4 linked regions of the Caenorhabditis elegans genome follow. The protein of the gene in region 1 purifies or fractionates together with the protein of each later gene. This does not show direct contact. Each region holds a gene or a part of one and is shown on either strand. Other genes may lie near its edges.

The links.
Region 2: the proteins of dnc-4 (region 1) and dbr-1 fractionate together in Caenorhabditis elegans (co-fractionation; one large-scale study listed by BioGRID). This does not show direct contact.
Region 3: the proteins of dnc-4 (region 1) and dnc-5 fractionate together in Caenorhabditis elegans (co-fractionation; one large-scale study listed by BioGRID). This does not show direct contact.
Region 4: the proteins of dnc-4 (region 1) and arp-1 fractionate together in Caenorhabditis elegans (co-fractionation; one large-scale study listed by BioGRID). This does not show direct contact.

What each region holds. Positions count from the first base shown.
Region 1 is NC_003282.8:8,015,872-8,022,369, forward strand, and holds dnc-4 (Dynactin subunit 4), read right to left. Parts: upstream 3,938-6,498; 5' UTR 3,918-3,937; coding exon 3,814-3,917; intron 3,749-3,813; coding exon 3,621-3,748; intron 3,576-3,620; coding exon 3,458-3,575; intron 3,412-3,457; coding exon 2,979-3,411; intron 2,935-2,978; coding exon 2,693-2,934; intron 2,649-2,692; coding exon 2,432-2,648; 3' UTR 2,304-2,431; downstream 1-2,303. Other genes in the region: C26B2.7 (Cytochrome c oxidase assembly protein COX20, mitochondrial), read left to right, coding at 409-509, 560-662, 717-920; elpc-4 (Elongator complex protein 4), read left to right, coding at 1,133-1,268, 1,344-1,754, 1,805-2,262; C26B2.2 (Membrane-associated kinase regulator), read right to left, coding at 5,334-5,729, 5,776-5,915, 5,962-6,055, 6,101-6,124.
Region 2 is NC_003279.8:6,489,237-6,496,448, forward strand, and holds dbr-1 (Lariat debranching enzyme), read right to left. Parts: upstream 3,492-7,212; 5' UTR 3,491-3,491; coding exon 3,317-3,490; intron 3,194-3,316; coding exon 2,729-3,193; intron 2,683-2,728; coding exon 2,533-2,682; intron 2,484-2,532; coding exon 2,337-2,483; intron 2,263-2,336; coding exon 1,999-2,262; intron 1,936-1,998; coding exon 1,633-1,935; 3' UTR 1,485-1,632; downstream 1-1,484. Other genes in the region: mdt-18 (Mediator of RNA polymerase II transcription subunit 18), read right to left, coding at 3,649-3,759, 3,809-4,095, 4,147-4,211, 4,265-4,380, 4,434-4,508, 4,551-4,595; uri-1 (Unconventional prefoldin RPB5 interactor), read left to right, coding at 5,093-5,125, 5,251-5,364, 5,408-6,253, 6,311-6,658. UniProt on the Caenorhabditis elegans protein: Cleaves the 2'-5' phosphodiester linkage at the branch point of lariat intron pre-mRNAs after splicing and converts them into linear molecules that are subsequently degraded. It thereby facilitates ribonucleotide turnover.
Region 3 is NC_003279.8:2,879,197-2,886,763, forward strand, and holds dnc-5 (Dynactin subunit 5), read right to left. Parts: upstream 4,259-7,567; 5' UTR 4,245-4,258; coding exon 4,128-4,244; intron 3,166-4,127; coding exon 2,832-3,165; intron 1,829-2,831; coding exon 1,725-1,828; 3' UTR 1,680-1,724; downstream 1-1,679. Other genes in the region: Y71F9AL.8 (Myb_DNA-bind_3 domain-containing protein), read left to right, coding at 1-88, 255-357, 949-1,194, 1,573-1,659; arx-1 (Actin-related protein 3), read right to left, coding at 4,668-4,763, 6,549-7,211.
Region 4 is NC_003280.10:15,116,806-15,125,165, forward strand, and holds arp-1 (Actin), read left to right. Parts: upstream 1-3,495; 5' UTR 3,496-3,503; coding exon 3,504-3,596; intron 3,597-3,671; coding exon 3,672-4,111; intron 4,112-4,877; coding exon 4,878-5,052; intron 5,053-5,102; coding exon 5,103-5,240; intron 5,241-5,979; coding exon 5,980-6,258; 3' UTR 6,259-6,540; downstream 6,541-8,360. Other genes in the region: Y53F4B.23 (Neuropeptide-Like Protein), read left to right, coding at 7,758-7,840.

The sequences.
Region 1 (6,498 bases):
AAGGGGATCTGAAAAAAGGGGATCTGCGAAAAGGGGAGATACGAAAAGGGGAGATACGAAAAGGGGAGCAACGAAAAGGGGATCTGACACTGTGCCAAACGCTATTTTTCTCGAAGAAAACGATACAACGATGCTCCGATGTTACGCGTCGCGTGTTGTTAAGCGTATCTTCTAGAAGAAAATTTCAAAAATCAACGTGCGTTGCGTGAGAAAAATTGCGTTTTGTGCGTTTGGCACAGTGCCAGCTCCCCTTTTCGTTGCTCCCCTTTTCGTATCTCCCCTTTTCGTATCTCCCCTTTTCGCAGATCCCCTTTTTGCAGATCCCCTTTTCGTTCTGCTCCCCTTTTCGTGGGGCCTCTTTTTTGAGGAAATTAATTTTATAAAATTATTTTGAATTTCCTTTTTAAGATGCTTCGCATTATCCAACGTATTCCTACTGAACGATATCTCTGTACTCTTCCTGTGAAAAATCCAAAGCTTCACAGAACTAAAGATCAGAGAGATATTACGTAAGATTATGCTTTTTTAAACCTTCAAGTTTTTAATCAACAATTTTCAGAAACATGGACTTACTTGAAGAACAAATTCGTATTAAAAGCGCAGAAAAAAATCGCGAAATGACAATACAAGGACAGAAAGTGAAATGGGCTTATCGATCAGAGGTAAATTATATATACTGAAGAATATTCTAAAAACTGATTTAAATTGATTTCCAGCTTGTCGGCCGACATGACCTCGATAAAAATCATCGTAATACATGGATGGCTTACCTAATCATTATTCTTGTCGGATTCGGTGCGTTTGTAACAGTGAAATCTCAGGTGGTAATGGGTCGACGCCAGGAAATGGATGCTCGCGAAGCTCTCAGAAAGGAGCTGCAATTGAGTGGAGACGATCGAAAAAAGATTGGAGTAGTCTGATAATAATTCATATTGTTTTATTGCGGGTTTCTTTATATATTTTTTAGTTAGAACCCTATTTTTGTTTTTAGAAATAATAATTAGTTTGTTTAAATCTCATTTTTCTTTTCTGTTTCTCAAATTACATTATGGTTTGGTAATAACCTTGCAAATATTTTTATCGTAATTTCCTGGTCAACATCAATATTTCATATTTTTAAAGTAATTTCAGAATGTTGAACGTTGGTGATAGTGTTCAAATTGCCGGATGTTCAACAAAGAAACGCTTACTGGAAACTTCAAGTGGTTGCGATTCATTTGACACACTCATTGGAGGAGCTTTAGTTAATTCAAGTATTGTTCTCATAGGTAATTTATTAATTTAGTTGCTACCTGTTCATTAAATACCCGCTAACCTAAAATTAAAATCACATTCATTTTCAGACGAGTATCGTTCTCGTTGCTATGGATCTTATCTCATTCGTTCATTCCTCGCAGAAGGACTTCATCATGGTCATCGATGCTTCATTGCGGATCCCACGGAAGATCCCAAAGAGATCAATCTCATACCATCTAGAAGAACATCCACGGATATGCAAAATCAAGAAATTCCAAATTCTCTGCCGGCAGAAAATGAAAACTCGATGAAAATTGCGTGGCGGTATGGAAATGTAAAACAAGTTTCCTCTTCCCTTGGACCATTAAGCAACGAAAATCAGTATGACTTTACGAAGCATGTAGAGAATCCGAATGTTGACGTGTATGCGGAGAAAGTTTTTACGCTAAAAGGGATTTACGAGACGCTCTGCCAAATTGTAAAAGAAAATGAAGCTCACACAAAATCCGGCGGAAGAGGTGAGATTTTTATTGAATTATTATACATAAACTAATGAATTTTACTTCAGGTGGACCGAAAAAGAATCTTCTTCGAGTGGTTCTGAAGAATATCGATATGGAAATTTGTGAAGATTACAAGTTCCTTGGCCGATTCCTGTGCTGTCTCCGATCTTTAGCTCGTTCGAGTTACATGATTGTATACATCACGGCTAACTCCTTCAGAGTTCCGAAACCAACTTGGCGTATACTGGAATCCGCAGCTGATACACATATTCAACTGATGCCGTTTGATGAAAATGAGAAGAAAATGTTCAAACATCTTGGCACTGCTCATGGATACTTCCATTTGAAGAGTTTGCCCCGATTGATGTCCGTTGGAACACACACTCCACCGATTCTCGATCTTATTTTTGAAGCAAGTTCCAGAAAAGGTTTCCAAATTCGAGTGATGCATCTTCCACCTGCATTTGATGAGCCAGCTCCAGGTCATCAAAATACTCCATCTTGCCAGAATATTGATTTTTGATTTTCTCGATCATGTTTATTTGTTGTTGGGATGTTTGAATGTTGAATTTTAAAGTATTTAATTTAAAGCATAAAAACGTCTTCTAAATATTTAACAAAGCTTATAAATTATGTTTAAGAAAAGACACGCTGTGGTAGAGAAAGGATAGAAACAAATATACATGAAATGATTATCTGAGATCTACTTTTAAATTAGCAGAGAGAATTGGATCAGGACACGTTTCTTCTGGTTTCAATATTTTGTCACTAGCGGAGGAGAGACGGAACGATCCATCCTGACAATATGTAATCAAAAGATTGAGACATGGAGAAGAGAGATCCATCTCGGTGGGAATAACATCCAGTCGAAGGCCAACTCGGTTGTGCTGTCGGAACACGATGACGTCACTGGAATACCATTTTTAGTCAATTAAAAACAAGAAAAAACTAACCTTTGGTCAGCATGAACTCCAGGAGCAGCAGTATCCGATGCTCGCGATGATGGAAGAAGAAGCTGGATTGGATCACTGGAACATTGAATGAAACCATTTCCAGATTGAGGTGCGATAGTCAAATCCATTGCAGATGATGATAAGTTGGTAATAGAGAGAAATACGTGTGATGTCTCCCCAACTTTAAGATCATCAACCGGTCGAGACATTCTGATGTCAGGAACAAATTGACGGGCAAATGACTGAAATTTAAACTTTTTACATTATTGTTGAATGAGCTACTCACCGAAATTTTAAATTTAAAGGTAGTAACTCCGAAGTCTCGTTTGATAAGAGTTCTTTCGCACTCATCACATCGAACTTGAACTCTTCCAGCCAGAGGAACTTGTACAGGAAGGAGTGGCTCAGAGATATTGATCAATGGTTGCATTATGATTTGATCGAGAGTTCTCAGATCATCCGTTCTTTCTTTAATCTCATCTTCAAGAGTCGGCGCTTCTGTTGGAGCATGTGCATCAACTGGATTCATTTCAGGAGCCAGTGCTTTTTTCCGCTTATCTACCATTTGTTGAAATCCAAACTTGTCTTTCAAGTGAAAAGCAGTCCAGGCTTTGCCCGATTTTCCCTTTTTCAAATCTTTTGGAGCATTTTCAATCAATTCAAGTCTCTTCATGTATGCCGTCACCTCACCAAGTTGATTAACCAATGGATTTTCTTTTCTGTATAAATAAAATGTCATAAGATCATATTTACAGTTAGTCATACGTTGGCCAGGATTTAGTATTCTCTTGATCTTCTTGATTCGCTTCTCTTGAAGACCAACGACAGTACTGACAAACCAAATATACATTATCATTTTCTGTACGAGCACTCAGAACGTTAGCTGAAAATATTCAAATATATTTACAAAATAGTGGATAAATCATACCACACTTAGGACAATCATTGCAACTTGCGCATTTATGCTTTTTAAGTCTTGCTTCAGGGACGCTTGATGGTTCAAGGCATCGAGGACAGAAAATATTGTCAACTTCTCCCAAGCTACAGTCATCACACCTGGAAAAGTTGGTTAATTTTTTTTTTCAATTATTTTTAGACAATTACCCATTAAAAAAACTTACTTAATTTTGAAGCAATATCGGCAGAAAACAAGGTCCGGAAGGGTTCGAAATTTTCCACAGGTGCACTCGTATTTGATTCGACTGTACTGCAGCAACTCGCTCATATTGAGAACCGCAACCGCTCCTAAATGTTAAATTTTTAATTCGAAAATTTGAAAAAGTAGCAGTTTAATGTTATTTTAATCACAAAAATTAATGTTAAACTTAAATAATTATTTTTGTAAAAAAAACTATTTCACAACACGATCTCGTCCCTCGGCCGCGCTGAGATTTCTCGGCCACAGTATCGCACTCTCTCCTTTTAACATGGTCTCTCGCACGAGAAATTAGTACCCGCACAACTGGAATACGGAAAACTCAATTAATGTTGAAAATGCATATAAATAAATACGAAGGTTATTGAGGATGGAACACCTTTGACTTGACATCAATTACAAATATTTTAGAAAACAAATTAACTAATATTTTATAATCCGGATAGGGATTTCATTTGGGAGAAGATTGCATTTTACATACTAATTAAAATTGGGCTGGCAGGTCGTCGACGCAAGTGTATGTTATTACAGGAACACGATATTCTAAGAATGCATATTGCGCAACATATTTATAAAAATATATATTTGACGCGAAATAAACAAAATATCTCGTAACGAAAACTACAGTAACTCTTTTCATAAGTAACTACTGTACTGGTGTCGATTTACGGAAATAATTTTTAATCGATAAAATATAAATGGAAAACAGAAAAATGACAAAACAGTACGAATAAAACAAAAAAATAAAATCTCTGCCACAAGTGTTTTCGAACGGTAATTCGTTTCGAAAATCGGGACCGTAAATCGACACCAGCGCTACAGTAGTCATTTAAAAAAGTTTCGTAGTTTTCGCTATGAGATATTTAGTTCGTCAAATATGTTGGCAGTGAAATTCTCACTCGTTTTTCTTGGATAGTTGGGTAGAGTAAAGGGCTGGCAGTGAAACCGTACCAAACCACGCTATCGTGGTAGGCGTGATACAAGTAGTTGTACTACTTTGGCGAAAAGACCTTCCTAATCTGCAAAATCTTGAAGGTATACTGAAAATAAGATCGAGATTTGAGAAGCTGAAATTGTCGAACCTTTGATACTCATGTCAAAACTCCGATACAACATTGTAAATTTTTTGTGTGCTTAGCCTTCACGTGAAAAGTGAGTTTTCCACTGAACACCGTGAATTTCAGAAACATTTTCAGAGCGGAATTTACAGATTTCCAGAGGTCTTCGGCAAAATTTTATTTGATTCTGGTAGCTGATTACTTAATCTTTTCACAAAAAAATAAAGTATAACTTCTGTTATACTTCCAAGTTTATCCTAAGACCTAGTCAGAGAGGCATTTTTCTATTATATTCAGCACAAAAGAATGTAATTGGTTCTCAGTGAACATATTCTTAAACGACGTTTTAGTGTATTCTTCCCAAAAATCAAAAAAATTAACATTTACTAGATTGCAAGTTTATTCAAGTTCAAGAGATTCGCCTTCTTTAATCAAAACAATCGGCCACTTTAACGAACAACTCAAGGCTGCCGTCAGTCCCAGATGGAACGAGTTTTCCAAATTCGTGCTGCTTTTCGGTAAAAGTAGACGAAACGGACGTATGGGAACTGATGGATGAAGCATCAGAAGCGTGAGAAGAGGACGAAGAATATATAACTCCCAAGTTCACATAAATAGTCGGTGGCGATTTTGAAGATGGAGCTGGCGGGTTATAGTCTCTTCCGAAGATCTTGTTAATCTGCGACAAGTCGACCATTGACCTCTTCTTGCGAGTATTTCTACCCTTGAGAACCTGTTTTGCAGGGTTCATCGTGATTTTCGATCCGATCTCAGACTTTTCCGAGTTAAAATTAGTTGCCGATGATGAAAGCGATAGGTTTTTCTAAAAGTTCAGAATATTAAACTTTCCAGCAAAAAATATGATTTACCACAGTCGAACTAGACATCATTTGAGGAACAAATCCACACGAGGCGATTGTGATTGGCTTGTTTTCAGTCAGATTTAACTCGGAATTGCGTCTCGAGGAAGTCAATTCTTCATCTGCATCAGCCAAGTCTTTAAGATATACTGAAAAATTAAAATGGGTCTCCAATTATTTTCCGCCATTGCAAACCTTTGTAAGTCATGTCGAAGCTCTTGTTGGCCGGGAAATTCGTGAAAAAATCGTTGAATGTCGATATTATGTCACTTGCAGACATGTGAGCACTCTGAAAGTTTAAAAGTTGACATTTAATTGAAAGCACAAAAATTACCTCTTTAGCTTTTCGAGAAGTCATTGTGACCGTTTACAATGAATCAATTCAAAATACACAATACATTTTTTTTGAAGTTTCCAAGTATAGAAAATAAATTTGAAACGGTTATCACGTGGATATAAGAGTTAATAATTTTTATATCCAACATGAAAATAATGAAACAATATTTATTAAAAATTTCAGTTAAATCTTTCTACTCTTCAAGGTGTTGTCTCCATGTGAGAAAGCAGGAGTTTTCCATGGCGATCACAGAATCACAAACCGCACTTATGCGCCGAAACATCCGATCGGCGGATCCTGCGTTCACCGGTTTTCAATTTTTGACAATCGGTGAAATCGGCGATTAACACAAAAAATTTGCCGCAAATTTCCGTTTTGTTCTAATGGGGCATATA
Region 2 (7,212 bases), on another chromosome or scaffold:
CGTCTGACATAGAGATTACTGGATACATATATTTAGGTATTTAGACCTATTGGTACTACTGGAATTCTTCAATATGAGACTGAAAAGGGTGGATATTATACCAGTCTTGATGCCTCAAAGGGAAATCATTCACAACCACTTTTATGGTGCACAAATGACCAAATGTAAAACTGCTCAAAAATTCTCGGCAGAATTTTTTTTCTCAGTCAAAAAATTGCAATAACTCTGTTTTCATCTATGTATCACCTTAATTTTGGAGTCGACCAAAGGATATGCTTTTTTTAAAAGTATTAGTTTTTAAATTCTAACATTGTAATGCTCTTAATCCGCAGCAATACTCGAAAATTCTCAAAGTCCAATACTTTTCAAAATTTTATAACTTACTATTAGTACCAGAACTGTTTTTCCAAAAATTGGGGTCTCCCCTGCATATATTCTCTCCCTCTCTCTCTGCCAATACTTTGTACGGATACGTTTATAATAACTTTTATAATAGACCAACATAGCCGAAACACTCCAAAACTTTATTTAAATCCACAATTTTCAAATTTTTGGTAAACTACCAAATTTGGGATAGTTGTATTGTTGTATTTAAAATTGTATTCTTGCATTTTTTCACAATGTTCGAGTAAAAATATTTAAAAATAAATTTTAAAAAAACTGTGTAACTGACCTTTCGACTGTAAATCAAATCAACTCAAACATTTAAAAAAAAAGCTTTACTCTGAATTTTGGTAATGTTAACACTATACGAACTAGTTATACTAATTTCATCCATGGCTTTCCTTGGCGTAAAATCTCTCTAATTTTGAACGAAAACAAAGAAACTAATAAAAAGTATAGAGTACTTGATGGGAACACACCAACAAAACGAACAAAAAACAACTGATTCATCCCTGTCTCTTCTCATTCGAAAAAATGGAGAGAATGAGGGAAAAGGTACGAAAATGATCGACGAGAGGAGGAGAGGATACTCTACTGCAACGGATAAAACTGAATGAGAATTGTTTGTTTTTTTTTGTACATAGAAAATTTTTTGTAAAATAGCTCAATTATATTTTAAACCGAGTGGTAGTTCTGTTTTTTTAATCGGGTCTTGCAGCGATTTTGATTAGATTACTGTAACTATTCATGGAAGGCGTCAGAATATGTGGATGCACTTTGAAATAGAAAACCCTAACATAAATTTTACTAAAGAAATTAGGCTCTAAAGATTTGAAACCATAAACAAAACGGAACAGTTAAATTTTAAAAAATGTGTACCGTCCATTATATAGGCGGAGCTCTTCCGTATTCTCTATAAAACCGTTGAAGAAGTCCACGTTGGGTCAAAGAGATCGAGGAAAAGTTTAACAATAAGTGAGTGTAGCGGAAAAAGAGCATCCATTGTAAATGCATCGACTTGCTTCTTCCGCTTTTTTTTATTTGGGAGTCTCCCTGCATTTTCATAGTCTATATTTGTTTGTGAGAAAACGTGAACATGAGAGGTGCTTTATTTTTTTGGCAATTTAAAGTTTTTTTGAGATGTTAACATAGAGTATACAACAACAAACGGCAATATCTTGATGTCAAAAAAATAAATATTTGGCAATGTGGTCTTCAATTAGAAACTACGTTGTAAAGTATTCAACATCATTCGGATGGTACTGCTTCAAACTTATCTTCGTCCAATCTACTTTTTTTCGCTTCTGGCTCATCGGAGGTGTGCCCTCTGTCGATTACAAAATCTTCGTCACCAAAATCCACGTCATCTTGATTTGGTTTAGCGTTCGCATCGTCTTGAGTCATCATGTAGTACGGAGTTCCAACGTGTTCAGATGTTTTTTCAACGAGCATCTGATTAAGATCCCGAATACCAAGCCACTGACAAAACTCGGCAGATTGTGGATTACGGTAGTAGGCGCTTGGTGGCACATTTTTGGATGATTCCGTAATCTGTAAACAGTTGTTTTAATTACTATCCTTAAGAGATCCACGAAATTCTGAGATGACACTTACCTCTTTTAACGGAGGCGCAGTTTGTTGGAAACTGTCAGTTCTGATTGTTAAATCTCCGAGTTTTTCGATTTCTTTTAACTCCTCTGCTGTTGGTCGAAAATCTTTTCTTTCGTAGACACATGGACGATTTGATGCCATATCGGGAAGTATCAGCTGTTCTTTTGTTCCAGTTGTTAATAAATCTGTATTTCTCAGAATAGCCAACCATTGTGGATCATATGACAGTTCCAGTTTAGCATCGTCTGCAACATTCAACTCGAGAGCCTGAAAAATGAAAAAATTTATTCGATTGTATAATATTGAATGTTGAAGTTTAAAAAGTGAACGTGACGACTTGCCTGCATAAACTTTCTCCCAGGAATCGGTTTATCCAGTGATAAGAATCGTGTAGGCTGTGGACGGCCTGATCCTGAACCTTTATGAGGAACAAGGGCCGCAAAAGCAATATGAAGATGTGCAGCAAGATAGTATCTGGGCCGGCAATCCTAAAATACATACATACAGTAATTTTGCAAATATCACCAAAAAACATACATAAATCAGTTTCATTCCAGAAGGATTCCCCAGTTTGCCACTATTGTGATCTGCTTCAAATAAATCCTTTTTCCGGAAAAGCCATTCCTTATCACCAAAATCAGGAATACCTCCAGGCCAATCGTGTGAGAGCATTATGTCAATTGGGTTCTAAAATAGGAAAATGTTCATAAAAAAGTAATTTTCAAGCTTATACCGATATCTTATTTTCATTATCAGATTTCAATTGTCTTAACCGGAACATATCAACGTTTCGAACGTGATATGCGCTTTTAACATCTCTTTCCGAAAACGAAGGGCGTTCGTAATGCGAAAATTGAAAATCTCCTTGCGAGAAAATTCCAGAGAGTCCTGCGATACGAAGGTTAGCAAATCGAATGCAATTTGCGAATCCCATGTAATAAATATTCGGCGCCACCCATCCTCCATTAGGCAATTCACATAGATAACCAGATGCTTCATGGTTTCCGCCGATGAATAGAGTTAGAACTGGTGCTTTTTGTTCTCCAGAATAGTATTTATAGAATGTTTGAAGACTTCTGTACTTTGGTGGAATACTCATATGTGGAAGGTCGCCGTAGTTTCGGACAGCTTGATAATCGCCACAACAGATCAGCAAATCGAATTTGTAGCCATTTTTCTGTTCGATTAGTGTCATTGTCTGAAATATTTTTTTTAAATAGTTGTAATTTTAAATAGCAATTAAAACAATCTAATAGAGAAAATAGATCTGAAATATGCCATTAATTTTGTTCGAAAAATATGATTTTTTTTTAAATTTTACCTCATAAATAGCATCCATTTCTCCGTGAGAGCATCCGACAACAGCAATTCGTATTTTCTTTTCCCCATTGTTAACTTCTTTTTCAACTACTAACGTCTCCGGAGCAGGATCTTGATGCGAACCTTCATGGGAGCCACAGCAAGGTTGCTCATCTACTGGATTTTTCGATGACATTCTAAATTTTCATTGGAGTAAAAAAATGTTTAATGTTGATATCAGAAAATAAAAGGTATAAACCATTGAAGCTTTGTGGGATATTAACATTATTGAATACTTCGTGAATTTTATAAATTAAATAACGTATCAAAGTGAGATCAATCAATTAATGAAGATTAACGACGAGGAGCTGCTTGAGCTGGGAACATTTTCTTCCAGTAATCGACTTTTTCCATATTAACAAGTGGCATCAGCTGATCGGCAAAATCACGAAGAGACTTGGCAGCCTAAAATGAGTTGAAAAAATAAATTCGAAATTATTACTAAAAAACCTACCGGCATGTATTCTGCAGACTCGGGCAATGAGATACTGATTTCCACTAACGCAGAATCAGAAACAGATTTGATTGAATTTGAATCATATGTTCCTGCGCGAGAAGTACTAGTCAATATTGAGTGCAGAATCTTTATATTTCCTTTTGTCCACAATTTTCCTTGTGTCATATATTCATAGTCCATGCGGAGACCCAAGGATTTCGCATACGTCATCATATCCTGAGAATGGACAAGTGAACTGATTTCTTTTCGAACAATAGTTGGGCATTTTTGATCTGGTTCCGGAACTGAAATAAAACAAAAAATTATAAAATACGAATTATAAGGTTAAAACCGACCTCCAATGTACTTTAATTGCCAATAATTTTGAATTCGATGTTCTGTTCGGAATCTTCTTCGCAATCTTCAAAAATCAAATACATGCAAATATTTAAATAGATAAACAAAAAAGCTTACTTAATATCGGTTTTGATATCCATTATACCCGAAGATCGTAGGCTGAATGACATCTCATGCTCGAAGAATTCCTCACATCCCGGATCACAAAGGCCGGCTAAACGTCGTTCCAAGTCCTAAAGTTGAAACTTTTGTATTAGAATTTAGTCCAATTACTTTAAAAACTAACTGGGACATTTTTTGCGAAAATAGATCCATAAAGAACGCATTCTTGTGTTTGATAGGGAGTTGAATTCACAGAAAGCTGAATTAAAATGTTTTAGATGGATTTTAACAATCGAAATACCTTTTCTTGTGTTCCATCTTCATCAATATCCACTAAATTGTCCATATTTTGAATGAATCAACTAAATAAACAGAATAAAAAATGTTTTTAAAAAATTAAATTAATTCAAAACTATTTGAGCGTGATATTAAATGTATTCTACGCAATTCACAGCTGGTGTTTGCGGACTCACACTCTACGTGACTCATTTCCAGGGAAACCAACACTCCCGAATATTTTACCATTTTTACGATAAAACTCTGGTTTCAGTTACTTTAATGGTTAAAACTCTACTTACTTTCAATATTGCATAAAATATATGCGATAAGTTTTACGCATATAAAAAAAGAAGTTTGAAATTCTGAAAGAGTTCATTTCTAAGATTTAACAGATTCCAGAAATCAGTAGTGTCTCCATAAAAGTTTGTACTTTTTTGTACTTTTTTAAATTGCGCTTTCGGAAATTGTTACTTTTTAACATTTTTTCCCATTTTCCGCTCCGAATTACCTCTCTAAGATTTGCAGAAAATGACTGTGACGAGTGAAGAAGACCTATCTGAAAAAATGAGCGAACTCTACGTTGCAGAATGCAATGCGGTAAATTAAAAATCCTTTTACATGATTATGAACGACAAGACAAAAATAATTCGTTTTTAAATTCCGAGTTTGTTTCCCTAAAATAGTATAAAAATAATTAAGTCTGTATGAATTTAATTTTTCAGGCTAAAGCTCGGCTCGAAGTTGAGACCGAATGTCGAAGAATCATTGCTGATAACTATGAAAAAGTTCTGGAACGAGCAAAGGAATATTCGAAAAAGTTGGAAGCTCCTATTTTGGTAAATTACATTCTCTCTCATATAATCTTATTCTAATTTTTAGGCGAAAATTTGCGAAGTCGGTTATTTCTGCGGTGCCCATGTAGTTCGCACGAATCAAGTTACGATGGAAATGGGTGCAAACTATTACGGAGAATGCAGCATTCATACAGCTGAAAAGATCTTGGATCGGAGAGTTTCTGAAATGAGAAGGCAGCGTGAGGAAGGTCTCGATTCAATTCGAATGTTGGATGACAAAATAAAGTTTGCTCAAGATAATTTCTCATCTGTTTCGATTGATGGAGGACCTATCGAAATTGTCGAGAAATACGATGAAGAGATGGAAAAACTGTTTTATCAAAATCGCAAAAACAAAAAGATGTCTCAAAATGATGAACAGAACGAGAAGATAATAGAAAAGAACAAATTGAATGGTGACCAAGATCACAACGATGTGATGAACCGTTTGGAAGAACTAGAGAAACTGGAACAAGACAATGATGAGATGGAAGAAGCTCCAATTCCGAAACCTTTTGAAGTTTCAAACGAAGATTTACAGGATTTGGGTAAATTAGAGGAAGTTGAGGAAGTTGAACAAGATCCAACTGATAAAAAACTAAGATTTGGAATGAATGAACGTTTGCTGGCACAACCTGGAGTAACACAGAAGGAAATGGAACGGCTGTTAGATTTCTTAGACACTTGTGATGAAGAGAGTTCCGATGAGGAGTATGATGAAGATGAAGAGGAAGGAGACGATGATGAAGAGAATCTTAACAATAGTGTAGAAGAACTCGACTCTGATGATTATGCATCTGATGATAATATCGAGAAAAGCAATAATTCTGACCAACAACTGAAATCCAAAAAGATAGAGACCCAAGTGATTAAGGTCGAAGAAATTGTTGAGGTAATTTCAAATACTAAATAGAAACAATTCACTATTATTTTAACACACAATTTTTAGGAAACCGTAACAAAAACCACCGTCAAACGGAAAAAATCGGGAGTTCGATTTGCGCAACAGCTTGAAAATGTGAAAACATTCCATCAAACAGACACTGTCGAAATCAAGGAAGAAGATTCAGTTATTGAAACCAAATCAATTCTCCGGAGCACTGAACCAACACCCGTTGATCGTTCAGCTCTCGAACCCGAGCAAAAGGAACTTGCTGCGATGAGCACAATGACATTTCCAGGAGAAATTGTTGAGAAGAATCCGTACGAGTGTGAGCCGTCGACAAGCAGAGACCCCGCTCCCGTCATCACCGAGAAAAAAGTTTCCAAATTCAGAGCTTCCAGGCATAGAAATTGATCTTTACTTTCTAATTTCTATATAATTTTCATATCGTTCAGCTATATATCATTTTATGCTCACTGTTAAACACTTTTGCCACATTGGTCAACATTTCCCCCGTAGAATCTCTTTTTCTGTGTTTGAAAACTAACATTTAATAGTTGGCAGCAATTATCACGTTCCCATTGTCATTAAAGTTCTAGTATATTTCAAAAATAAAATTAAACAGTTTCAAACATTGCTTTAATTTCAAAACTAAAGATGGATTTCTTTCCTGAACAGTTGGTCTGATCACATTAGGCTGAAGAGACTAAACCATATTCGCAATGGGAGTATAATGTGCGCATATTGTGTTATCTTCCTTCGCTCCATGGCGAATCAACTGTGAACCAACTCTACAACAGACTCGGACACAAATCGATAGTTATATAAAATTTCGCTGTTTGAACGTTGCCATGGGGGCAATTTTGGATTTCTCACAACTGATCTAACGGGAAGGAATCAAATAAACTGAAATTAACAGTAAAATTTTAAATCAAAATATCTCGGAGCTCTAGGGTGAATAGAAGCTG
Region 3 (7,567 bases), on another chromosome or scaffold:
ATGATGAGTTATCCCGTGATGTGTTCGAAAGTTCTTGTGCTTCGACAATTGTGGAGCCAGAGCCTCCACAAGAAGAGCCTCCACAGAGGTGAATACTCCACAGATGTCACAAAAAATCGAATTTTTTGCCAAAAAAACTAGTTTTTGCTCCGAAAAACCAACAAACATCGATTTTTTTTTAAATTAAAAAAAAACTTTTTTTTCTCTCATTTTTTCTGCAGCAGGAAATAAATAAATTGAGGAAATATTTTCAGATCACACAATTGGAAGACGGAAATGCGAAAAATAGCCGGCCAAGCAGCTCAAGCAATTAACGATTTGATCCGACAGACTGTTGAAAATAATGATTTCAATAAGGTACAGCAAAGATAAGATGCATGTACCTTTAAATGTGAAGTACGGTCGTATACGGTGCCCGGTCTCGACACGACAATTTTTTTTTCAATCAATTTTTACGGTTGTGCGCCTTTAAAGAATACTGTAATTTCGAACTATTGTAGCTGTGGAATTTTCCACCAATTTTTCAGTTTTTCTCAAAGTCGTGTGTTTTTTTAATCGAAAAGCTATGAAAACTCCTCAGAAAAGAGTAGTTTGAAAATACAGTACTCTTTAAAGGCGCAAACCCTTTTGTGTTCGACAAAAATTTTCGTGTCGAGACCGGCTACCGTATTTTTGGTGCGAAATTTCGCGTCTGGATAATAAGAGAAACACTAATTTTCTTTGATTTTGTGAAAATTAGAAAAGAAAAACATTTTTTTCCGGTTTTTGGCTTTAAGCAAACACTTAAAACGGAACTTCTCGTTTTTTTTTTGGAAAAAAAAATTAAAAATCGGAGAGGAACTTCAAACCAATCAGCGCCTGGCTCCGCCCACCTTCGCTGATTGGTTTGGAATTTTTGGCCCTAAAAATGACACAATTTCGTATAAAATACAGTTTCTTTTTTTTCAGAAAATGTTCGCTGAACTCGAGAACCAACAAAATCTAGACCACCTGTACGGAAAAATGTTCGACGATCCAAATAAAGCCGATTGGATAATGATTGATGTCAAAAAGTTCACTGAAAACCACCTTCGCATGCAATATTTCCGTAAAATACGCGAAGAGCTACACAAAAGATTCACCAATCAGCATATCATTCGTGCCGTTTTTTGCTTTTTCCAATTTTTTGAGTATTATGTGACAGTTTGTGTTGATGTGAGTTTATTCCGAGAAATTGAAAACTTCTCGATTTACCTGAATTTTTTACTTGAATCGCCGCGCTTTTGTCTCTAAACTCCGCCCATAAAACCGTGCCGCACTGTTTTTTTTTCTAATTTTCAATTAAGAATACGGTCAGCAATGTTAAACAATTATTGAAAATTAGAAAAAAAAAACAGGAATCTGTGTCGAAATTGAAAAAACCAGAGTGCGGCACGGTTTTTATAGGCGGAACTTAGAGACAAAAGCGCGAGAATTCAAATTAGGCGTAAAAAATCCGAATTTTTTCGTTTTTTTTTCTTTTTTGGCATTTGGGACTAGTTTTTGAGTATTTTAAATTAAAATCCTTTCAAAAAATTAAAATTAAATTTCCAGGAGTCCACCGACAACTACATTCTGCTAATGAACAAAGTTTTGGAAATGTCCATCAAATTGTTGCCACTTTATATTGTTCATTGTTGATCATGCTCGCCCCTCCAATGTTAAGAATTATTTATTGAAATCATCCCGTTTTATTTACAATAAAATTATGCGATAGCTCGTTGTTTCGGTACGAAATTATCATAGTACATCGTTATGGCCTCCATCATCAGGTTCTCGGTGCAACGGGGTTCAGTGCCGACCACTTGAGCTGAAAAAGAGTTGATTTTGTTTTGGAAAAATTCCGGCAATTTTTGGAAAATTGCCGAATTCGCCGGAAATTTCATTTTCTTTTCGCGGCTCAAAAATTTCTTGGAGAATGGAAGAACTGCCGGTGTAGTCCTCGAGGAGGTTTTTTTTTTCAAAATTTTAAAAATCAGTTTTCAGCAAAAATGATCGATTTTGGAAAAAAAATTTTTTTTTTGAAAATCGAGAAATTTAAAGAACATTTATTTCCAAAAAAAATTAAGAAACTACCGGAGATTATTGAAAATTTTAATTTTTTCTAAAAATTAAAAAAAAAACTTTAAATTTTCGATTAGTACGATTTTTCGGAAATTTTTTTCAAATTTTTGAGAAATTCTTTCTGATAAATCTGCATTTTTTTCTGAAAGTTTTATTTTCTAGAAAATCCAAAAAAAAATTTCAGATTTTTTGGTAAAAAATTCAAATTTTCGATAATATCCGGCCATTTTTTTTCAAAGAAATGTGTTTTTTTAAAATAAAAATTGAATCTTCATTAAATTTTTTCTAATTTTCCTTTTTTAAACTGAAAAGCCTAAAATGGTCCAAAAATGAAAAAAATCGAGTCAAAAACTGAAAATTTACTGTAGAATAAAATTAAAACTTCTCCTCGGGGAGTACACAGCGATTCTACCATTTTTTGAAAATTAGGGAGCTCAGAAAAATAAGAAAAATAAGAAAAATCGATAATTTTCGATTTTTCGCCAAAATTCCAATTTTTCAATAATTTCAGTTTTTTTAAAAATGTTTTTTGAAAGAAATTTCTCAATTTTTCCAGTTTTTTCGATTTTTCCTACTTAAAAAGTTCGAAAAATTAGGAATTTTCGATTTTCCGTCAAAATTCCAATTTTTCAATCATCACAGGCAATTTTTGTGCTTTTAAAAACGTTTTTTTTCCAGTTTTTCGATTTTCCGGCTCTCAAAAAAATTAGGAAAATTTCAAATTTTCGCTTTTTCGACGGCATACTGACCAGGATTCCCGCCGATCGTTGAGTACGGTGGAAAAAGTGCGTCCGCTGGAACTACAGTATCCGGAAGAACCCTCGAACATTCTCGAATCACACAACCATTTCCGAGCACCGCACGAGCTCCAAGATGTACAAATGCGTAGATTTGAGCGGCATTGACGACACATTCTTCTTCAATAAATACATAATCACCAATCATAACGTTGCACATTGTTGGTTTTTTGCTGAATATTTTCATGCATGGACGGATGTTACATCGAGACTTTAGAACACAATATTTTCCAATTTTAACTGTCGCCAGATCACCGCGAATTGTCACTCCTTCCTCGATTATTGTCTGCAAAATTTCACTTTTTTTGATGTTTCAAATCAGGGGTGGGCGGCTATTTATTTTTGGCAGATTGCCGGTGTACCAAAATTGCCGGTTTGCCGAATTTGCCGGAAATTTTAGATTTTGGCAACTTGACAGTTTACCGAATTTGCCAAAAATTAGAATTTTTGGGAAATTGCCGGTTTGCCGGAAATTTTAAATTTTTACAAATTGCCGGTTTGTCGTTTGCCGAAAATTTCAATTTTTGACAAATTGCTTATTTGCCGGAAAATTTCAATTTTTCGAAAATTGCCGGTTTGCCGAATACTTTCATTTTTGGAAAATTGCCGATTTGCCGAAAATTGTAATTTTTGTCAAATTGCCTATTTGCCGGAATTTTTAAATTCCGGCAAATTGCCGGTTTGTCAAGTTTGCCGGAAATTTTCATTTTCGGAAAATTGCCGGTCTGTCGGAAATTTTAATTTTTGGAAAATTGCCGGAAATTTTTTTTTCTCGCAAATTTACGGAAATTTTAATTTTTGGCAAATTGCCAGTGTGCCGGAAGTTTGAATATTTGGCATATTTGCCGGTTTGCCGAATATTCCTAAAATGCTCAATTCCGGCCCACTTGCCGATTTGCCGGAAATTTTCATTTTCGGAAAATTACTGATTTGCCGGAATTTTCATCTTCAGCCGGTTTACCGAATTTTCAAGAAATTTTAATTTTCGCCAAACTGTTGGTAATTTTAAGTTTTGGTAAATTGCCAATTTGCCGATTTGCCGAAAATTTAAATTTTTTCCAAATTGCCGGTTTGGCAAATATGCCAGAAATTTTAAATTCCGGCAAATTGCCGAATTTGCCAAAAAATTTGTATAGCTTATTCCAAAAATCTAGAAAAATTATATTGCGCTATTTTTTTAATTTCTTTTTTTTTTCAAAATACTTGGAAAACACTGAATTTTTTCTAAAAATTTCCAAAAATTCTCACTTTTCCAGCAATTAAAATATTCTGTGTTCCAGCAATTGCATGCTTCTTATTCACTTTATTTCCCGTATGCGTCTTCGCCCATTCCGTCTCATCGTAGTAGACAATTGGAAGATCCATCTGAAAATCAGCGTCTGAAATTTTTCTAGTTTTTTTTTAAATTCAAAAATATCACAAAAGAGTTCTACTTTTTCAAATCGAGCGGAATTTTTCTCCAAAAAGACTACAAAAATAAGGGAATTTATATATAACGGGGGAATAAATTAAAGCAATAGTCATGCAAAAAAACACAATTTAAGAAAAAAAATTGGGGGCGCAGGAATCAAATTTCTTCGAGAATTTTTTCGTTCAAAAGGTTTTAAAAAATTGGTAATTTTTGGAAATAAAAATAATAAGTACATACACGAATCGCCCAGAATAAGATGAAAAAAAGTGAAATGTGTGTTCAAAAATTTCGGGAATTAGAGAGAAAAAAACGTGGAGAAGGGATTAAAATTGGAGAAAATATATAGGGAAAAAATACAAAAAAATGGAGAAAAAAAATTAAGTAAGAGCTCCGAAAACTGGATTGTAACGACAAATCGATGGTCCTCTCTCCATGTATTCGGCCTTTGTGTGTGAAACTTGGTAGAATTCCGACTGAAAATTTGGAATTGATAGTTTTTTTGGTGATTTTTTCACTAAATTTTGGGGGAATTTAATTGATTCTAAATTAAAATTTAAAAAAGTTTCCAAAAAAAATTTCATTTTTCAATTTTTTCCGACTGAAATCTTGGCTATTTTTGTGTTTCAAAAAGTTTCGAAAAATTGCCAAAAAAAAATTAAAAATATAATTTCCGAATAAAATTTTTTTTCAATTTTTTCTCAAAAACTTAAAATTGACTTTTTTGGGAATTTCAAAAAAAAAAATCAAATATTAGATTTTTTTTTGGAAAAAATCGGAAACATTTGTTTTTTTTCGAATTCTACCGATTTTTTTAAAATTTAATTTAAATTCGAAATCTACAGTTTTTTTTCACTAAATTTCGGGAGAATTTAATTTATTCTGAATAAAAATTTTTTAAAAAGTTTCCAAAAAAAAAAACAATTTTCAATTTTTTGAGTTTCAAAAAGTTTTGCAAATTTGAAGAAAAACAAATTAAAAATATAATTTCCGGATAAAACTTAAAATTGACTTTTTTTTGGGAATTTCAAAGAAAAAAAAATCAAAAATTAGATTTTTTTTTTGGAAAAATTAGTTGGCTAGTAAAAATCGATTTTTTTTTGAATTTTCAAAACTTGTTCAGAAATAGTGCTTTATTTATTTCAAAAACCATAGTTTTTCAGTGAAATTTTTTTATTTCTTAAATTCGAAATCTAATTTTTTTTTTTTTGATTTTTTTCACTTTCAAATTTCGGGGGAATTTATGACTTTATTCTGAATAAAAATTCAAAAATTTCCAAAAAAAAAATAAAATTTTCAATTTTTTTCCGACTGAAAATTTGGATATTTTTGAGTTTTAAAAAGTTTTGAAAAATTGCCAAAAAATTAAAAATATAAATTTTTAAAAATTTGTTGAGGTAACTGGAATACAAATTTCAGAAATTTCATTCGAAGCTCTGAATAAAACTTTTTTTTTTAATTTTTCGAATAAAAATCCGAATTTTTGAAATTTTTCTCAAAAAAAATCAATTATTTTTGGGAATTTTACAGAAAAAATCGAAAATTAAATTTTTTTTGTTGGAAAAATTAGTTGGTTAGTAAAAAATAATAAAATCGATTTTTTTAAAAAATTTACGAAATTCAAAAAATATAGTTTTTTTTAGTGAAAAAGTTTAATTTTCATTCAAATTTTCGAATAAATTATTTTCAACGAAAGAATTGATATTTTTTGCAAAAAAAGTACCAAAATTTCGGTCAAAAATGCATTTTCTCGGAAAAAATAGCAATTTTTTGAGATTTTCAAAATTTATGCTCATTTTTTTTAAAAATTTATGCTCAATTTATTAATTTTTAATCAACTTTTCAAAGTTTACCGGAAAAAATGGTTTTTTTCATTAAAAACTGTTTTAAAGCATATTATTCCCATTTGATAAGGCTGTTTTTTGTGAAAAAAAAAGTTTTTTATTCAGAAAAATCGATTTTTACTCAACTTTTCCAGTATTTCTTCAATATTCTTTTTTTAGATATATTTTTTACAAATATTTCCAACTGACAAAAACTCACAGTGGATGCACTTTTCAAGGTTTTCCGGAAAAATGTGGTTTAAAAATTTTTTTTTTTCATTAAAAAAACGTTTTAAAACATATTATTCCGTTTTGAAAAAGCTTTTTTTGTGAAAAAAAAAAGTTTTTTATTCAGAAAAATCGATTTTTACTCAACTTTTCCAGTATTCCATTAAAAAAAATAGTTTTTACAAATATTTCCAACTGACAAAAACTCACAGTGGACGCCAGCATAGATCCTCCAAACCAAACCGCATATCTCTGCATTTTATGCGAAATCACTTGAACATCAATCGGCTTCGGCTTCAACCGTCCACCACTCAGCGTCTCGCTCATCTGAAGTCTCCCATCACTGAGACGCTTCACGTCACGCTGAAGCTTCCGTGCAAAGTCCTTGAACATTGTAGATCCTCCAGAGAGCACAATATTCTCGTAGAGTCCACGACGAACATCAATTGGACACTGTTGAATAAGTGTGTCAATTGTATCAGAGATTGGTGTCGTGAATTCTGGATTACAGAATTCTGGATGGAAAAAGATTTCAGGACCCAAGAATCTCTCGTATCCAACGTCGACGTTAAACGGTTTTTTTGTAATCGAATTAATTCCATCGTAGGTTCGAAGCCACTTTGCCGCGTCCGTATCATACTTTACAAATTCCTTCATAACATCCGGGCACACGTAGCAGAACTTTTCCTTAATCATCTTCGCCACCTCATAGCTCTGCTCGGCTGGAATTGTGTGCTCACGATCACGGAGCAGACTTTGAATGAAATAGGTGATGTCACGGCCGGCAATTGGAATGTGTTTGATACAGGAACCGATTACATAGCCATCGGCAACTGGAATACAATGGGTTACTCCGTCTCCAGAATCGATCACCTGCAAATTTTGAAAATTGCTAGAAGTCTCAGGAGTCTCGAATTTGTCAATTTTTCTAAAACTCAAAGCATAATTATTTTCGGCAATTCTACAAAATGGCCATTTGTTCCGGCAAATCGACAAACTGCCGGAGTTGGACATTTCCAGCAAATCGGCAAATTGCTGGAATTGATAATTTCCGGCAAATCGGCAATCTGCCTGAATTGAAAAATTCTGGCAAGTCGGCAAATCGCCGGGATTGAAAATTTCCGGCGATTTACCGATTTGCCGAAGCTTAAAAAATTCCGGCAAATTCCGATTTGACGAACACCAAAGTTTCCTGCAAATCGACAAACTGCCGGAATTGAAATTTCCGG
Region 4 (8,360 bases), on another chromosome or scaffold:
CTCATTTCCTGAAATTCCGGAAAAAATGGAGATGAGATCTGATGTATAAATGCTCATTGACTACCTTCAAATGCTCTTTGACTACCTCTATCTAATAAAATTTTCCAAAATTTATTTTTTTGAAAATTTTTCAAAATTTGATCAGATATTATAGAAAAGTGCAATTTTTGTCGTTTTTCTAGTTTGGATGTTCTGCACACTATTGCAGACGAAAACCTGAGGTAAAGTAGAACCCCTAAGCTCAAAAAACGCACTCACTTCGGATGCTGATATCTCCGTGGGAAAATTTTTAAGACAAAGTAATAAACTACAAAGTTGTATATCTTAATCTAAAGTACAAGGTAGTCAATGATATGAGGTAGTCAATGAGCAAAGGTAGTCAAGGCTGGGAGTGTGTTTAGAAGTGACCTTTGCAGTCCTCAATACCATTAGAGAAAAAGTAAAAGTCAATTTTCCTCACGTTATTAAAAATAAGAAAAAAAAAAAAGAAAAAAAAAACAATTTCTATCCCAATTCTTTTCAAAACTACAGTTTCGGCTCGATATACCAATGAAAGAGCACAGTGTAAACTTATTTTCAAAGTTCTCACGGCGACTCCAATCACTCTACATCAATATAAAACTGAAATTTTAAAAAGGAACCCCAAATGAAAGACAGCGTATGAATTTCACTAAAATACCAACCGATGACTAGTGATTTCGATCCCAATTCTTTTTAAAACTACAGTTTCGGCTCGATATATCAATGAAAGAGCACAGTGTAAACTAATTTTCAAAGTTCTGATGGCATCACCAACCATCAAATTACATCAATGTCAACACATCAAAATACAACGGAACATTTGAAGACTAGAAGGCCACTCGAATGAGTGTTGAGTGGGCCTCGAGAACCACCATCGGATAACACCTCGAGCGCAATCAACGGTTGGATTGTCCTGCTCTTGTCGACGAAGGACATACAAACGGAAAACCACAGTAAGTTTGCCAGAAGGATCATAAACAGTTCACAAGTCAATAGTATTCTAGGACCTTCCCCCGAATTAGCAGAAAAATAAAAAGAGTTGCCCAGGAACACATGAGTGAAATTGCCCAGAATTAGATGTGGTCAATCAATGATGATCCTATACGGCAAAATTAACAGGGAATACTCCACCTGTATTTGGAAAGCGTGGAGATGTATCCGGAAGCACGCTGTGCATGCTAGCCTTCACTTTTTAACCCCCGCTCAAGCGGATAAAACTATGAACCAAACCCAAAATCCGTGGCACTCTATTACTACTATTAAAATAGAACTGGAATATCGAAAGCGGAACCCCAAATCAAAGCAAATAAGGAACAAGAAAAGGAAATGTGACAATTCTTCCATTTTTGAATATTCAAACTTCGGGGGATCCAGGACTCAAGCCACTCTCGCCTGTGTCCTCCATCTTTCCATTTAGAGCAAGTGTTATCGGATTTTTGACTGATAAGATGCCTATTAGGTAGGCACAGCAGGCTCGGAGGAAGCCGCCCCCCCCCCTAAATGCCCACCAACAAGTCTACAAAATGACCCAGTGTAGTATGCACTTCCGATATTTTTCATTAAACCCACCGCGGCAATGCAATTTCGAAGAGATCCACCACGAGTGTTCCCGTTTTCCAATAATGACTCCTTCAAAACGACGACAATTTGCATGTGGAGCGAGTGTTCTAAGGAATTCCAGGGATCTTCTGATTGCAAAAACTGTTTCCGGAGCTGAAATACATAACAAAATTATTTCAAATTCCCCTCGGTAAATATATGTATTCTTTTAAACAAGCTGAAACTCACCCTAGTCTTTCAGGACTTTCAATAAATAGAGTTCTTCGGACCACATCGACAACAGTCGGCCATTAACCAGTACGTCTGTTTTTCATTTCTCTCGCCAAAATTTTCATATGGTGCAATTGTAGTCGGAGTCTTGACAACAGATTGACAAACTTCTATGTGTCATGTAGATGTCCTCCTAAATTAAAAATTGTTAAAATGTGGCAGAAGACACATGCGCAATACCTCAAACATGTCATCACTCAATTCCGATCCAAACTACGATTATCTGATGTTTTCGTATCCATTGTCTTTATCAGAACTTCCTTTAGTCATGCGAGCTGGTACTTGTACTGGCGTGGTGGTCACTGAAAGTAAATGAAATTTCTGTCGGAATTTGTGAGAAAAAATGAAACATGTTTAACTTTGCAAAGCTACAAAAGATTATTTCGATAAACAGTTTTCAATTATGGAAAAAGAAACGAGCAGAAAATATGAAAGCAACAAGGATTTGAAAGCAGAAAACAATAAAAAAAAACTGTGCACCACAACGGTCTGCAGACAGCACTCTATTGTGAGAGACGCCGAGAGAGGGAGGAAGAGGGCCATGTTGCGCAGAGATCACAACACTGCGGGCACTGTGCCAAGTATCATTCCGGATGGGAGACGTGTGTGTGTGTGTGTAGTATAGACGACAAGATTAAAAAACAATGCAAGAGGCGTTTGTTTTTGTAGATCACACGTAGATCACAATGTATTTGTAGATAACAATAAAACAGAAATACGATTTGAGAGATAAATAAACTGTGATCTACGCAAAATTTACACAGAAACTGCTGAAAGTGATGACTACTGTATACGGTTCGAGAAACTTTCGAGAAACTTTCCCCAACAACTTTCTCCAACTTTGGACAACTTTCGGCGAAGAAATACAAGATAGGATATTCAAATGAATGAAAAATGTTTTTTGGTTTTATCAACTTACTTTTTGGTTCAGGTTTTTTTTTCTAGCAAGCCATTTTGTTTTCAAATGCTAATTTGTCTTGTATGTAGTTAATAAACTTCTATTTTCGGTGAACAAAATCTCGAAAACTTCATTTAAAACTTGAAATTCATCAATTCCCACTGCAAACTGCGTATCGGAATTCGGAGTCTCGTTTGGCCACGCCCACTTTGTTGTTTGAACTTCAATTTTGAAATTAACAGTTTAGAGCTCTAATTAGAGCTATATATTGCAAAATATTTCCAATGTTTTGGTGATTAAAAACTGTAACACATTTTAAATAAATATTTTTATGGAAAAATTTCCAAAAAAATCCATGAAAATTCCACAGCAACGGAAGTTTGAAATTACAGTACTCTTTAAAGGCGCGCGCGTAAGAGGATTGCTTTCTTTTTGCTCAGGTCCGCATCGAATCCTGTTGTAATATTTTGCCAGAAGTATAGGTGCATGTATTCTTATTATACTATTGGAAAATCAATAGTTTCCGATACTCTCGCTATGTATTTGTTCAGCCTCTGTCCTCCAAAGTACAAAACCCCCATTTCTCCGCGCAAATGATGCATTGTCCGCAAACACGGCGGCTGCAACTCTGCGTACATTTCGCAACTCTCATTTAATTTTGTTTCCACAGAAAATGCCAATTAATCCGGGGTTTTTTAATTGTTTCAAGCTCAAATTTTGGTTAAAACTGTTATTTTATCTTTCAGGTTACAAAATGGACTACGACGTCATCGCCAATCAGCCTGTGGTCATCGACAATGGCTCCGGAGTCATTAAGGCTGGTTTCGCCGGAGAACAGCAGCCAAAGGTAGGCAATAACGAATCAAAACTTGAGATTTTTGAATTTTGAATTTTAAATCATCTTTTAATTCATTTTTTACAGGTTCGCTTCGCCAACTTCGTCGGACGACCGAAATATCACAGAGTAATGGCCGGAGGGCTCGACGGAGACATTTTCATCGGACCAAAGGCCGAATCAAACCGCGGGTTGTTCTCAATCGAATACCCAATGGAACACGGAATCGTCAATAACTGGAGCGATATGGAAAAAATTTGGGAGTACATTTTCGGACAGGATCAGCTGAAAATCTTCCCAGAAGAGCATCCAGTTCTGCTCACCGACGCCCCATTGAATCCGTTGAAGAACCGCGAGCGATCTGCTGAGATCTTCTTCGAAACGTTCAATGTTCCAGCGTTATATATTCAAATGCAAGCTGTGCTATCGCTGTACGCCACCGGAAGAACGACCGGAGTCGTTTTGGATTCAGGAGACGGAGTCACACATGCTGTTCCGATTGTTAAGGGATTTGCAATGAAGCATGCGTCAGTAAACTCTGGGAAATTGCTTTAAAACACGCCTATGTGGTCACAATGACCGAATATCATGATAAAAAAATTCAAAAAAATTTTCTAGATTTTATATGATTTTTTTTTTTTGAAAGTTGCGAAAATCCCAGTTTTCCCCTAATTCCGGTTTGAATTTCCGCCATATGAATTCGTTCGCTGGAGCGCACTTGCATTTCATTTTATTTTTTCTCATTATTTCACTGGTTTTTCTTCATTCTTTGTGTATTTTTATCGGAATAAGAGAGAAAAATTCAAGATAAATTGCAAATTATTTATTTAAAAATCACTGAAAATGCGTAAAACTGTAAAATTATGAGTTCCGGCGATAGCAAACCTGAAATTAGCTTAGTTCACAGTTTCACCCATTTTCAGTGATTTTTAAATAAATAATTTGCAATTTATCTTGAATTTTTCTCTCTTTTTCCGATAAAAATACACAAAGAATGAAGAAAATCAGTGAAGTAATGAGAAAAAATGAAATAAAAATTTAAATTAATAAAAATAATGCAAGTGCGCTCCAGCGAACGAATTCAATTGGCGGAAATTCAAATAGGAATTAGGGGGGAAAACTGATATTTTTGCAATTTTCAAAAAATCATATAAAATCAGGAAAATTTTTTTGAATTTTTTAATCATGATATTCGGTCATTGTGACCACATAGGCGTGTTTTAAAGCAATTTCTCCATTGGGCGCACTCCACCTTTAAAAAAAGCATTTAATTCTAAAATTTCCTTTTTTCAGAATTCAACGAATGGATTTGGCGGGTCGCGATGTCACCGAATACCTCCGAGTCCTTCTGCGCAGAGAAGGATACGAGTTCCACAGGAGCAATGAGTTCGAAATTGTCCGAGAGATGAAGGAGAACGCGTGCTATTTGGCGTTGGATCCGACGAAAGTGGAGAATAATTCAGTGAAAGTAGTGATTTTTTTTGCAGTGAAAATGAGCTGAAAATCGCATTCTTTCAGTCATCCTACGCTCTGCCAGACACCACGAAAATCGAAATCTCCAACTCATTGTTCCGTGCGCCGGAAGTGCTCTTCAAGCCGGATTTGATCGGAACCGAGTGGCCTGGAATGGCACATGTTGTCAATCAATCAATTATGGTAGGCTCACAGCCTGCTCGGACGAAAAATCACTTTTTCAGACATTTTTGCTTAATTTTTGGTGGAATTTCGTTGGAAAATATTAATTGGCACATAATATTGCTATTTTAAGTGCACATTTTTCATCTTTTAGACTTTTTAACTTGATTTTTCGTTTTGGAAATGTTTTAGCTCTTAAAGTAGAACAAAAATCGAAATTTCTACAAGATTACCATATAAATATCAATTTTCTGTTGAATTTTACCCAAAAAATGCGAAATTTCTTTAAAACGAGCCTAGCCAAGTGATTTTATCGATTTTTATCTTATTTTCCACCGATTTTTCACGTTTTCAGTGTATTTTTACAGGAAGTTTGAAGAAAAGTCAAGAAAAATGCGAATTATCGATTAAAACTCAACATTGAAGGTTTACGCCTTCAACGCTGATTTTTAATTGATATTTCGCATTTTTCTTAACTTTTCCTTCGAATTTCCAGTAAAAAAATACTGAAAACATGAAAAATCGGTAGAAAATTAAAAAAAAAAATCGATAAAACCACTTGGCGCGAGGTTTAAATTTTTTAAAGCTATTTTTCAATTTTTAAAAATCATATAAAATTTAGAATTTTTTTTTCTATGATATTTAGCCACTGTGATATCAGAGGAATTTTTTTAAATAAATTTTCAGTTAAATTTTAGCCAAAAAATGCGGAATTTCTAAAAAAAAAAAACACCCATCAGCTCAAACTAAATATTTCCAGAAATGTGACGTGGATCTTCGACAAACTCTGTACAGCAACATCGTGCTGAGCGGTGGAACGACGTTGTTCAAAGGATTCGGCGATCGTTTGCTGGGAGAAATGCGAAAAATCGCGCCCGCTGACGGAAAAATTCGAATTTCCGCGTCGCAGGAACGAAATTCGCTCACATGGATCGGCGGTTCGATTGTCGCCAGTTTGGACACTTTCCGAAAAATGTGGCTCGGAAAGAAGGAGTACGAAGATATGGGAGCGTCGGCGATGCACAAGAGATTCTTCTAAATATTGAATTTTTTCCCTTTTTTGCTCACTTTTCATCGTAATTTATTTGTTTTTTTTGCATATTTTCCCCCTTTTTCTCCCTAATTTGTTCCATTTGGCGCTGGCTCAAAAATTCTTCAAAATTTTCTCAAAAATAGGCGACCTTCTTCAAAAAATGTTATATAGCCCGATTCTCTGGACATAATTATTCAATTTACCCCCTCCTCCCCCAGTTCCGTGTCCCACTATCTGCTTTATGCCTGTTTCAATTATTATTTTTTATATCTAAACGATTCGATTTTTATGGAATTCTTCAATGCAATTTATTACAGGTTCCCGGCAGCTCAATGGAGCCGCTGCGTCAGGCGGAAACTGTGCAATTTTAAGACATGAGGAAAATATTTTTAAAAAAAACTTTACGGAAATTTTCCGAATTGCCGATTTGCCGGAAATTTCAATTCCGGAAAATTTGCCGGAAATTTGCCGATTTGCCGGAAGTTTCAGTTCCGCAAATTTGCCGGAAATTTTCAATTCTGGAAATTTGTCGATTTGCCGAAAATTTCAATTCTGGAAGTTTGCCGATTTGCCGGAAATTTCAATTCTGCAAATTTGCCGATTTGCCGGAAAATTTCAATTCTGCAAATTTGCCGATTTGCCGGAAATTTCAATTCTGCAAATTTGCCGATTTGCCGGAAAATTTCAATTCCGGAAATTCGCCGATTTGCCGGAAAGTTCAATTCTGGAAGTTTGCCGATTTGCCGGAAATTTCAATTCTGCCAATTTGCCGGTAATTTCAATTCTGGAATTTTGCCAATTTGCCGATTTGCCGAAAATTTCAATTCTGGAAATTTGCCGATTCGCCGGAAATTTCAATTCTGCAAATTTGCCGATTTGCCGGAAAATTTCAATTCTGCAAATTTGCCGATTTGCCGGAAATTTCAATTCTGCCAATTCGCCGGAAATTTCAATTCAGGAAATTTGCCGATTTGCCGGAAAATTTAAATTCCGGAAATTCGCCGATTTGCCGGAAAGTTCAATTCTGGAAGTTTGCCGATTTGCCGGAAATTTCAATTCTGCCAATTTGCCGGTAATTTCAATTCTCGAAATTTGCCGATTTGCCGGAAATTTCAATTCTGCCAATTTGCCGGAAATTTCAATTATGGAAATTTGCCGGAAATTTGCCGATTTGCCGATAGCTAACGGAATCTTCATTTTTTGAATTACACATATTCCTCCAATTGAGTAAATATAAAAGTCAGATTTTTCAAAAAACTACAACCTATAACTACAAAAAAGTCACACACACACACACCTCTTCTAGTTCCCTGTGATTTTGGTCTCTACGCTCTGAAATGGAGATGAGGTCATTTTTGGAGATGAAGAGATGATAGCAATAAGATGCTATTTACTTCATTTCGAAACTGGTTTTTCACCAATTTTTTTTTATTCTGCAAAAAAATATCATTTTCCGTTTTTTTGATAGAATTGAATCCCATTGGACTTCCGATAGACCGGCCGCGATGAAAATTTCTTTGATTTTTATTGCTTTCATTGCGATTTGTTCCAGCACAACTGTCTATAAAGTTAGGAAGGTGATTCGGAGGTGAGATGGATTAATAATTGAAAAAATAATCAAGTGAGTCTCAAATTAAGTTTATTCTCTGTATTACCGGGAACAATAAATCATGAGAATGCGTACGTGGAGCATTCTATTTGACGCGCGATATCTCTTACCGAAAACTACAGTAAGAACTTAAATAGCAATAGTTATTTGAGTTCTTACTGTAGTTTTCGCTAAGAGATATCGCGCGTCAAATAAAATGCTCCACGTACGCATTCTCATGATTTATTGTTCCCGTAATAATTCTACAAAATTGGTCGGTTGCACCATGTTATTCCAACATATTTTCATTTTTCAAAATTTTTGTTTCAGGCCATTTTTGAGCATTTTCACAAACATTTCAACTAAAATAAATGTTATTTTCAAATAAATCAAGTGATTTTCTATTTTTTGACACTAATTCTCAAAGAAAATGTTGGAACAACATGGTGCAATAGTCTATTTTGTACAATTGTTGTTCTCAACTAAAACTTTCAAGTAGGCACAAAACTGCCTACCTGCC